2 linked regions of the Sus scrofa genome follow. The protein of the gene in region 1 interacts with the protein of each later gene in a pairwise test. Links are inferred from orthologs where the notes say so. Each region holds a gene or a part of one and is shown on either strand. Other genes may lie near its edges.

Region 1 (6,502 bases):
TTCTACTTGATAAATTGGTCAATAAATGCCAAGCCAAATATTCAAGTAAATATATTTTCATTGTTATTGGCAGACATATAATTAACTCTAAGAATAAAAGAAACAAGAAATCAATTTATGATTACTTGTTCAGTTCTTCCCATTAGTCATTTACATTGTAACTGTGACTCTACTTTTAAAATATTTATATACACATACACACACACACATACTCCATGTTGACTATATCATAAATCAAGTTATTCCAATTGCAAATTAGTACTGTACGAACTGTGAACCTCATGAGTTAATTTTATTAGTAAAACAACAATTGCTTTGCTACCCACATATATGAGCTGATTAAAAAGCAATGCACATTTATGAGCCTATATTAATTATAATTCCAGCATATGTTTCTAAACAATGCTAGGGATTTGCTCTGTCTTCTCTCAAGAATAAACAGTGAATCAACTCTTGCATGCATGTGTATATATCAGCAAATTACATTTCCATTTTCAGCAAAATAGGCTGCTAACCAAGAAAATATTACCAACAGTAAATCTACTTTTTTCAAAGAAGATATTCAAAGAGTAAAATTTTTTTAACATTTGTTATCTGCCAGGTCAATATCTTCGCCAGTCCAGGAAAAATACATCTGTACGAAAACTTACATAAGTAAACTTTAAAAAATATTGCCCTAGACCAGAGGCAAAAGCTTCAGATACACTAGTATATGTGAATTTCACAGAGAAAAAAGTTTAAGATGAGCTCAAAAAAACTGCTTTAATAAAATATGCTGTCATCATTCAATTATTACTTTGATTCCTGTAGTTTGTTTAAAATTATATACCATGGATAAGTCATTTAACCTCTCATTTTCCTGCCTTCAAAAAGGGGATTAATGATGATACCTCATCACAGGATTCCTGGCAGGATTAAAGGAATTAATACAAGTAAAGCATTTAGAACAGTGCCCAGCATACAGTAAGTGCTCAATAAGTGTTAGCTATACATTACCTCATTGCATATGTTTTGCCTATTATACTAATTTATAGTTTCCAATCCCGAAAGTATCTTAATTCTTTTTAAGGAAAAATTTAAGCTAAATCATAACATTCTTAATGCTTTCTTCATGCCATAAGCTTTCAGTGTTGCTGGTAGCAGCTAGTTTATCTGCTACTCACAGGCAAAACAGGACCAAGAGTTTCACTGAATAATATTTCCAAATTCTATTTTAAAAGACAACACTCTCCATATTATCTCCCTATGAGTACTCATTAATTTATTCAAAACACTAATGTATACTATGTGCTAGGCACTGAATACAGGCTGTAGGAATAAAATTAATGGTTAAAAAAAAAAATTCTAGGAGTTCCCTGGTGGCTCAGTGGGTTAAGGATCTAGTGTTGTCACTGCTGTGGTACAGGTTCAATCCCTGGCCAGGGAATATCCGCATGCTATAGCCATGGCCAAAAAATAAAATAAAAATTAAAAAATCCAAATATATTGCTCACAAGATAATAAGGGATATGAACACAAGTATGTACTGTTTAGTTGTGGTACCCCGAATGCTATGATAAAAAATTTTTCCAAGATGTACAAGGGAGGGCTCATGGTGAAGTTGAAACAAGTCTTGAAAGGAAGAAGAGAAGAAGCCTGCCAGGTGGAGAAAGAATCTATGATTATTTTAAACAAAAAGAGAACAGAAAATTTCTCACAGTGGTAAGTCGATTTGACTTATTTTAGCAAAGAGACTTTCTCAAACAGATTTCCCATTGCACACTGCAGCAGAGTTTATCTTTAGGAGTTGAATAAATATTTTTGTATGACAGTCTGCCCCTACCCATAGTGAGGCCTTTATTGTGACATATTTGGATGATGTTCTTAGTTCCCATTCTCCCAGAGCTCAGAGAGAGCTTCCTAAAGCCACTTTTATCACACCATTCCCTGATCAAAAACCTACAATGGTTTCCTCCTATTTCCAGATATCAGCCCTCTGCTTTGGGAGATTTCTCTCCCAATATGCCTCAGCCATGTCTCCCTTTGGTTCACATTCTCCCCCTGCTTCAAATGCTTTTCACCTACCACTCTCCTAAATCCTACCCACACTTCAAAATCCTCCCTCAAGAAGTCATCTGATTCCTTTGCTTCTATTTCAAATAACAGATCTTTACAAATGCTGCAGCCAAGTGTGAAACGCTAGTGGGAAAATTATCCTTTTGGATGAAAGACATGTCCAAAATGTGGTAGAGAGTTGAAAAACAAAAGGCAGACACTCATCGGAAAGTTACATTCAACTGTTACATCAACACAGCACACTTCTTAAATTATTTATCACTCAAAATTTATATCCCTTACCAACTACTTATTGAATTATTCTTTTCCCAATGGCATTGTGCTCTTCTGAAACGTTAATCATGCTGCAACACAATGAATTCTTTACTTAAACTGGTTTCTTTAGCACAAATTCTTGTTAGGATGGAAGTTCTGGATTCAGAACTTTATTACCAGACAACATGTAACTACACTAACTGGCATGGTAGCACGCTTCCTATTAAAAAAACAATAATAATAATGGAAGGACAATTAGTTAAACAGTAAAGTATCCTCCAAAAGTCGAGTGAAAACACTTTTTCAAGTGATAATGAGCATGCTGTGTATGTTACTACCTTAGATTCCAACTTGATTTTCTCTTCATTCAGCTCCTCTGCCGCTTTCTTAATATTTTCACGACATCTGTTTATCTCCGACCTCACTGTAAAACAAATGCTTAAACATCCATCCATCTTTCTGGAGTCCCCATTTCAGGGCTTGTGATAAGACACCTTGCAGCTGTCTTCCCCTCGACGTGGAAAGCAGACCCCCTGCTCTGTCCGCGGCCTGGGCATTTCTTTCTGCTCCAAGCCCCCAACCCAAGAAGACCCAGGGCCCCAGGCAAACGCCCGACCTTCTCGCAGCAAGCGGCGACTCTCCTCCGCCCGGTGCTCAGAGAAGATGATGTGCTGAAACAAGGACTCCAGACTCATCTCGGGCCGGGCACCCGCCAATCCCTTTTTCACTCTTAAATATTTTATAACCGAGTCTGAGGATCCTGGAAAGAAAGCACAATAAAGGATTATTCCAGGACAATGCCTAGCTGGGCCTCGCGCGACCTGCGCCCTGCCCTCGCCAAGGGCGGGCCCCACGCGGGCTGACGGGAAGCTCCCAGCGCCTCGAAACGTGCTCCCAGCCCCCGGTTCATCTCTTACGAGGGACAAATCCGCTTTTTTCTCCCCGGCGCCCTCGTTTCGCCTGTGACCTGTCTCAAACTGCTACTTCCCGGGACTGAGCGCAGCCCTCCTCCGCCGAGGCCCAGGAGCCTGGACGGGTTTCTTTATTCTGGCGGCAAAAAAAATGGAGGCCCTAAGGCCTCGGCTTCGGAGTGGTCTGGACGGCAGCCCTTTCTGTGGTCCGCCTTTTCCTTTCAGCCCCCTCCCTTTTAGGGAAAAGGTCCTCAAAATACTCCACCTCTTAGCAAAACCTGTACTTGTAATTATACTGTGGGCTGCAGACCTCGCAGAAGCCCGCGGACAGCGCCTCAAGCTGGCCGGAGCAGATGGGAACTGAAACTACGGCGTCCGGTTGGGTCCACTGCGCATTCGCGTCTTTTGCTTTGCTTTGCTTTGCTTTGCTTTGCTTTGCTTTGCTTTGCTTTGCTTTGCTTTGCTTTGCTTTGCTGTGGCCATGTGGTCCTCAAAGGTCTTAGGCCGAGCTTGGAGTTGGGGTGATCTGTCTCCAAGGATCAAACCCAGGATTATAAAGTACAAAGTACCTGTGATTCTAAATATAGACTTTTGCAAAGTCTTATCCTTTGACGATGGGAAAGATTGCTATAAATGTGCAGTGTCTGACATTCGCCTTAATCATTCCTTTGTAATCAGGGCAGATCTTTTTTGTCTGCTTTAAAATTAATCATTGCCTTTTGTAATCAAGCTGCAGTAATATTAACACTACAGTATCTGCGCAATATGTGTCAGAGACCAAAGTGGTTGCTAATTAAAGCTTAAACATGAAAGGCACCTTTGGGACTTTGATATGGGATTTTTTTAAATTAAAAAATAAAATACTTTTAGTTTTAACAGAACAAAATATTAAGAGTATAATAAACATTTGACTTTGTATCTTAATGTTAAATTGACATTGGCTAAACTTTTAAAATGTATTTAGTATTAAGCAAAAAAAAGATAAATATAAATTCTGTCACATCAGTATAATAAACTTAATTAATATTTTATTAATGCTGTAGCATAATCAGTTAGAAATGTTAACCTTTTCAAATTTCCTCTTAAATTTCTGTCAAGCCATGTATACAGAAAACTTAATTTTTAAACTTTATTGTGAAAGAATACATACTGAAAAGTGTAATGAAGTAGAAAAGAATTGCCCATAAATTGCCCATTCAGAAGCAAATATTAATAACATTTTGATTATTGTTCTTTAAGTAATCTTCCTCACCTTGCATTTTTTTCTTTACAAATATATTGTGATGAAGTAATAATAATTGTTGTTATTTATTGAGTATTTGCCAGATACCAATCCTTTTGAGATGATTTTTACTACAACCTTCATAGAATAATTGAGGAAACAGGCACATATCTTGCCAAAGCTGCATATCTAGTAGGTGGCAGAGCAAGATCTGAAATCAAGAAATCTGAGATCAGAGACCATGAATTTAATTTTGGATTCTGCTCTTTTCCCCTCTTATTACTTCACAAGCATTTTACCATTTCATTGAAAACTCTTCATGAATGCATTTTTATAACTTCATAATCCTCCATCATATGGATGCCTGTGTAAAATTTAGATATATTGAAATAAATTTGACTCTGTTATCTGTTCAAGGATGGAAAACAAAGCTAAAATTGTGGTTGAGCCCTTTTCTTCGAGCACTCGTTTGGAGGCTTATGAACTGTGCCACAGCAGCCATCAAAGGAAAGGGCTTCCAAAGATAAATTATATTACTAATTAATACCACTCCCTTCAGAATTATTTCCTGTGGACGTGCATAGGGAGCACCCTCACAAGGAAGCTGGTTTTCAAAAGCATGCTTCTCTTTAACATTCCAATTTTATTAGTTATACTTGTACTCACATTTATTATTTAACATGATCTTTCTGTACTGAAACTTGGCAGAGTGAAATTTGGGCAGACTTTAAGGAGCCCAGTCACCTCTCTCACACAGGAATATGGAAGAGAAGGCTGCTAGAAATCTGGGAAAGAGGTGTGGGGAAAAATGCCTTCTTCATCTTCTGTAGTCTTCTTCACATCCCAAAATACTTTGGTGCTTTTAAATCCCAAGTTTGAGTTTTCGTAGAAGTACCACAATTGTAGGCATTAGAAGGGTTTTATTAATTTTATTTATTGAAGCAAACATGATTATGCAAGCTCATAATTCAAATTTTATGTGTTTCATAATTATGAGTAAAAGTAACATAGTAAGATATTAAAATATTCCTATCATATATCTAGCTTTATTCATACATTTCCCATAGAGTTAAGATTTTTTTATTGTGGATATACATGCTGATTCCATTCTATAATGTTCAGAGCAAGAGTAGCATTACCTAAATTTATGCCAAATAAAAATGGTATATGACATGGTAAAACTAGGGCATTCTATTTTCTGAAAATGTATCTTACAAGTCTAAAAAAAGAGAAACGATTCATTCAACAACTGTTTAATGAGTCTCTGTTATTCATTCAACAAATATTATTGAGCATCTCCTATGTGCCATATTAGAGAAACAACAACAGGATTTAATAAAAACAGAACTACATAAAAAGTATTTTCCTTCCCCCAGATATTTCAAACCTCAGTGGAGAATTATTATATTTTTCAGTATTTTGGCAGCAGTATAAACAACTGCTTTCAGATGTTTCAACAGATGTTCTTTAGAAAGAAAGCCAATTATTTGCATTATGATACCCACATATGATTCTCAGATTTAAACTTTCCATCTGTACATGTTTCATTGAATTGCATACCTATGGAATATAAAAGTTGAGATCACTCACTGTCTCTCAACTTCAGATTTTTGTTCATAATAACACTAGCACCTGGGTTATTGAGCCATTGATAATTGCTTTGCTAGAAGGCCTTATATAAGTCTATATTGCTCTTGTGATTTAAAATGCATTTCCTTTCCTTTCTTAGATTGATGACTTCCCTAAGTCCTAAACCAGGCTTGCAAATACCCACTAGCCCAGGGCATATATATTGCAATGAAAAGAAGAAAAGTAATTCATTTCTTTTATGATTTTCTTAGGGCATCTGCCAACAAAGAAAAAAAATGTGGGTTCAACCAAGTTTAACAACCATTTATTGAGTATCTACTAAGTGTAAAATCTGGTTAGGTACTACGGGTGATACAAAATTGAAAGATACAGGCTGTGCCCTCCTGTAGGTCATAATCTGTCGAATGGGACGTAGTTGCACAAGTAACCCTTAGTGGGCAGTGTACCAGAGCTTCACGCTGGTGCTAGG
Region 2 (5,936 bases), on another chromosome or scaffold:
AGATCCTTTCAATAGTGACACGTGTCCCACCCCACCACCCCACCCCGCCCCATCTCACCCCACCTATTACCTGCTTTCGTAACTCCCTGTTACCTGCTTTCATACCTCCCTGAATTTTCCTTCACAGAATTGCTTGTAATCACATATTTATGTGATTTATATTTGAGGTCTGTCTGTCCACTAGTCATTAAGCTACAAGCCTCCCACTCCAGAGATTAGGACCCAATCCCCCAGGTACTGGAACACCCTATCAGTGTTCCAGTGGATCTGGGGATGGAGTTCTTACCTGAGGATGGGAGGAGGTTCTAGGGCGGACAGATTGACCTGGTACAAGGCCTCAAATTCAGCCCGGGTGCAGCAGGAGCCGCCTGCAGCCAGCAGGTGGCAGCAGTAGGCTTCCTCTGGGGTATCCGTGAGCCGGGGACAGAAGAAACCCGAGTAGCGACGGCCATCAGCATCCCAGGAGGTCTGGCACAAGTGGGGGTAGTGGACCAAGGCTGAAGAGAGGGCAAGAGGGCTGGAGACAAGCAGCAATGATCTACCTACACCCCACTCCACCTCTTTCGGCGAGTGAAAGGGATCAGTCACTATCAGATGGGCAGGCTTCTTCCCTCCCAACCAGCTGCCCAGAGTAGCCCGTACCCTGCTAAAAGAGTGGGGTAACCAGCAGGGTGGTGAGCAGAGAGTACAGTACCTGAGAGAGAGGTCGGCTGGGCAAGCGTTGTCCAGCTGAAGAGCAGCAGTAGCCCCGTCGACAGGCCTGTCAGCAAAGAGCCTGGCCTCTTCTGAAAGCCCATGAGAGGTCACCTCCACCTTAGCCCTGGTCCTAGAAACCCCAACATCTCTATTTCTAAGCCCTGGCTTCAGACAGAGAGGAAATAAAAATCAAAGCCCCAAAGCACCATTAACACAAACCTGAAGCTTCTCTGTCACAGAACTCTAGAGAGAGATGAAAGTGACTTTCTATCTTCTGTTGGAAAATGCAGGGACTGTGGCTCCAAGCTGACAGGCTGAAGGGGAAAAGGCTCAGAATGAAGAATGAAAGAGAAGTTGAGCCGTTAGCCTGAAAAATAGACAAACAATTAGAACCATATATGTTTTCTCTCCACTCTCTCTCAATTTTCAGGCGGCAGTGGACGCCCTGAGAATTGATTGTTCCATTTCACGCCCCAGAGACCTTAGTTCCAGCATTGGGAGCCTCCCTCCCTAATATCTGCATCGTGGCAACCACCAAGACTAGCTGAAAACCAAGGGCGAGTGCTTTCACTAACTTTTCCCCTGAGCCCTCATCTGCCCCAGCTACCAGCCAAAGTACAAAAGCTTCCAGTATGACTGGAGGGAGTATACTTAGCAACCAGCCAACCCCATATCACAAGGAATGCTCTTCCAATGTCCCTAGGTCTGTCTTGGCCCTCATACATCATAGATGCTGTCTGCTGAGACATGGGATTTCTCCAGAAGGCCAAAGGCTCCCAGCAAACAGTGTTGTGTTGTTCTACTGAGGCCTGACAATGCCATGCTCCCAGAACAGCAGAAGCAACACTCCAGGGGCCTGGCCCAGTGGCTGGGGACTGAAATAGGAACCCTTATGGCACAAGAAACAAATGCAAATTTTTGTTCCCAGCACTTGAGAGCAAAGAAGACAGTTCCTGCAGAAACAGCACTGCTATTTAGACATAGGCCTGGGAGCCTAAGTCTGAAGTAATTAGGGAGGGAGTTCTCCCAGTGTAGGCCCCAATTTCCAGAAGGTCAGGTCCTAAGGCCTTCTGGCCCAAAGGTGAAGTTCCCATGCCCATAGCAACCAGGCCATCCTTGCAGGGAAAACTTTTTTTTTTTTTTTTTTTTGTCTTTTTAGGGCTCCAACCACGGCATATGGAAGTTCCCAAGCTAGGGGTTGAATCAGAGATACAGCTGCTGGCCTAGGCCACAGCCACAGTGACGTGGGATCCAAGCCACTTCTTCCACCTACACCACAGCTCACGGCAATACTGGATCCTTAACCCACTGAGCGAGGCCAGGGATTGAACCCGCATCCTCACAGATACTAGTCGGATTCGTTTCTGCTGAGCCACAACAGGAACTCCCAGGGAAAACAATTTTTAGAGAGCTTTGAGAATTTTCAGAGCCCTGACAGGTTGAAGATTATCTTTTCATGGCGGGAGAGGCCCAGTCCTGGGAGAAGCCGTCCCTGGCCGGGAGGCTAGGTGAATTGGCCTTCCTCCAAATTTTCATTGTCCCCTGCCTTCCTGCCCTGGACACACTTTGAGGCCACAGTCTTATACCTTGTCTGTTTTCCTCCTTCCCTTAGGCTCTGGGCTCCCAGAAGGCCAGGCTATATTATTCTGGCACCCTCAGCAGAGCGCCCTTAAGCAGGGGCTGAGATGCCTCCCACACCCACTTCTCCTTGCCCAGGATGTCAGCCCCAGAAGAACCCTGGCTCAGACTCCGCAATCCTCGGGCCTCCGCGGCGCCAGGGGGCGCTGTCCACGCCTGGTCCACGTTCCCCGGACCGAAGTCCCCCGCGCGATGGGTTCCGAGGTGGCCCAGCTGCTGGAGGCTGCCGACTTCGCGGCTCGCAAGCACCAGCGACAGCGGCGGAAGGACCCCGAAGGAACCCCTTACATCAACCACCCTATCGGTGGGCGCGCCGCCGGAGGAGCAACGGCAGCAGCTTCTAGGGAGTGGGATCCGGGAAGGGAACGCGGAGGGCGTATACTTCATTGAGCGCCTAGTCTGTACCAAGATTTGTGCCAGGCACTGTTCGTGTTTAAAATTCACAACAGCCGGGGGCGGTAGGCTTGATTGTTCCCTTTGTATGCGAAATAGAGTAAAGAACTTGCCCAAGGTCCCCCAGCTACTGAGGGGCCATATCTGGCTCTACAAACCCCACAACGTGCCGCCCTGGTGACTCCCTCCTGTCTGACTTCCTGCTTTGCCCCGTCAGGTGTGGCTCGGATCCTGACCCGTGAGGCGGGAATCACTGACATTGTGGTGTTACAGGTAACTTTCCCCCTTCTCTGCTAGGAGGCTGGGGAGGGGTTCAGGAGCCCCATTCAGCCCTGGGGCTGGCGTCACAGGACTGAATGGAAGCCTGTCCGCAGGCAGCCCTGCTCCATGACACGGTGGAGGACACAGACACCACCCTGGATGAGGTGGAGCTGCACTTTGGGGTACAAGTGCGGCGTCTGGTGGAGGAGGTAACAGATGACAAGACTCTGCCCAAGCTGGAGAGAAAGCAGTTGCAGGTGGAGCAGGCACCCCACAGCAGCCCAGGGGCTAAACTGGTGAAGCTGGCAGACAAGCTGTACAATCTGAGGGACCTGAATCGCTGCACCCCAGAGGGTACGCTCCCCAGCCCCCTGCTCTGAGGGAACCTCTGCACAGGTTGGTTAGTTCCCCTGGGGGAAAAAAAAAAAGTCTGGGTGTTCTTGTTAGTTCCCTAGACCAATCTTACTGGAGCACTCTGATCTTTCACACAGTAGATTCACAGCAACTGGGCCAAGGGGTGGTTTTCAGGACAGATCCTTCCATTAGGAACTCATCTCACAGCCCGGCACCAAACCCCCCAGGAAGTGGGCAAAATACACTACTGTCCTGAACGTCAACATGAGCAGTTTTTTGTCCATTCTTAATGCAGGATGGTCTGAGCGTCGAGTCCAGGAATACTTTGAGTGGGCAGCACAGGTGGTGAAGGGGCTTCAGGGGACAAACCAACAGCTGGAAGAGGCTCTAAAGCAGCTGTTTAAGGAGCGGGGACTGACAGTCTGAGCAGTACTAGGAGCCATCCGATGGTACAGACTCCATCCCTTTGCCCAGGCCAGAGAAGAGTCATGGTCCAGCCTTTCAGTGCCTCCTGAGCTCCCTCCTGGCTTTGCTCAGCCCAGATATTAGATCATAAAATACTTGTCTTTTCTCACTCTGAAGATGTCCTGCCAATGAAACTGAGCCCAGGTTGAAGGATGATGCACCCTGTCCTTTTTTTTTTTTTTTTTTTTTTTTGCTTTTGCTTTTTAGGGCTGCATGTTTAGCACATGTAAGTTCTCAGGCTAGTGGTGGAATTGGAGCTGTAGCTGCCAGCCTACTCCACAGCCACAGCAACATGGGATCTGAGCCTCATCTGCAACCTACACCACAGCTCACAGCAATGGGGGATCCTTAACCCACTGAGCAAGGCCAGGGTATTGAACCCACAACCTCATGGTTACTAGTCATATATGAACCTGCATCCTCCTAAATACTAGTCGGAGCCACAACAGAAAGTCCCACCCTGTCCATTCCTAATGCCGTCAATGTCCTCCTGGCCTTGGGTCTGTTTCTTGTTTTGCCTGATGGGCTATCAGGCCCCTCAGGGACTTGGGCTTATATATATATAAATGTTAGTTGGAAAGTCATTATGCAAAATAAAGCCTTTAGATAAAGCTTTGTGTCTGTGCTGCTCCTTCTCCTGCCTCCCCAGTGGGGAACCAGCAGGGCAGGGTTTCAATATGCATGAGGCCTCGACCCCTCAATTGCCAGGGTTGGATTACTTGACATGCCTGATGGGCCCTGAGATTTAGGTGCTCAAAACCTGGTAGACGTCCTGGGTGGAGAGGCGTGCTAGCCTGCTTACTGACAGCTCTTCTGAGCCCAGCAGCAACGTGATAGGGCCGTTGAGGGGCTGCGGGTCCCTCATAGTCCCGGTTGCAGTGTAAACTTGCCAAGGTTTGCAGCCATCCCTAGGCTCATCCCTGGTTTTGTTGGTTACTAAGCGATAGGAATTTCTGGATGCCTGAGGAAGTCCGCCCCCGGACCTGACCCACCTTTGGAGACAGGCGGTAGGCGGGGTCTGGGAGGTGGGCGGAGCTCCTCAAGGCGTCCCAGCGGAAGGATCAAGGAGTGTTGGTGGGGTTTTGGTAGCTGCTGAGCAGCTGAGGCTAGTAACCCACTTGGAAAGGGTAAATCTTGGAGGTTGAGGAGGTTATTAGCTAAAAGGTGATGTTTTACAAACCCCTTCAGGTGTTACCTCATCTGTTCTTTATAATAACTGGATGAGATAGGCAGGATGGGGATTGTTCCCATTTTACAGAGATGAAATAGAAAGCTCGGAGAGGTGATCAAATAGACGGAACGAACAGTGACAGAATCGGGACCAGAATTCCTCTCTGTTTTGGCCATAGCGCTGGGTGTTTTTTTTTTTTGTCTTTTTTAGGACCACACCCGCGGCATATAGAAAGAAGTTCCCAGGCTAACAATCAGAGCTGTAGCCCCCAGCCTACCCAGGGCCACAGCAACACAGGATCCGAACCACGTCTGCAACCTACACTACAGCTCACCGCAGGCCGGATCCTTACTCCATGAAGCCGAGTCCTCAGGGATGCTAGTCAGGTTAACTGCTGAGCCACGACAAGAACACCTGCTGGGCCTTTTTCACCAGACTAGAATGACCACAACTGAAGTTAGCTCCAACCACACTGGACATAGTAAAAGTCTTAAGAAGCTAGTGGATCTGGATTATAAGTATGAGGCCTTCCCAGATAACCTGTTTGATCTGAGCCAATATAGTGGATTTTTTTATTCAATATCAGAATTTAAAAAGTTATTTATTTAAATCAGAAATTTATGGAAAGATCAGAAGTACAACCTAAGTAACCTTTTTCCCTGAACCACTCAAGGTTAACTTGCTAAACTGAGGCCCTATCACCCCTAAATACTTAAGTATTTAAACAAAGAAATTCTCCTATATAAACCAAACTATAACCATCAACATCAGGAAATTAATGTTATTACTATCTTAAGTCTCTGACGATAGAAGTCTGCACAATTTACAGCTGTTATATTAGAAATATGAGCCAAGGAGTTCCCGTCGTGGCGCAGTGGTTAACGAATCTGACTAGGAACCATGAGGTTGCGGGTTCGATCCCCGGCCTTGCTCAGTGGGTTAACGATCCGGCGTTGCC

What was found.
Region 2: the proteins of CCDC172 (region 1) and HDDC3 interact in binary tests that used the Homo sapiens proteins (3 or more experiments, as listed by UniProt). The two-hybrid records come from large-scale screens. The link is inferred for Sus scrofa from reciprocal best matches to the Homo sapiens genes CCDC172 and HDDC3.

The regions. Positions count from the first base shown.
Region 1 is NC_010456.5:126,546,190-126,552,691, reverse strand, and holds the start of CCDC172 (coiled-coil domain-containing protein 172), read right to left. Parts: upstream 3,581-6,502; 5' UTR 3,228-3,580; intron 3,071-3,227; 5' UTR 3,006-3,070; coding exon 2,927-3,005; intron 2,735-2,926; coding exon 2,649-2,734; intron 1-2,648.
Region 2 is NC_010449.5:53,524,466-53,530,401, reverse strand, and holds HDDC3 (guanosine-3',5'-bis(diphosphate) 3'-pyrophosphohydrolase MESH1), read left to right. Parts: upstream 1-2,511; 5' UTR 2,512-2,526; coding exon 2,527-2,638; intron 2,639-2,944; coding exon 2,945-3,000; intron 3,001-3,101; coding exon 3,102-3,342; coding exon of another isoform or gene 3,343-3,368; exon of another isoform or gene 3,369-3,384; intron 3,385-3,637; coding exon 3,638-3,768; 3' UTR 3,769-4,418; downstream 4,419-5,936. UniProt on the Homo sapiens protein: ppGpp hydrolyzing enzyme involved in starvation response.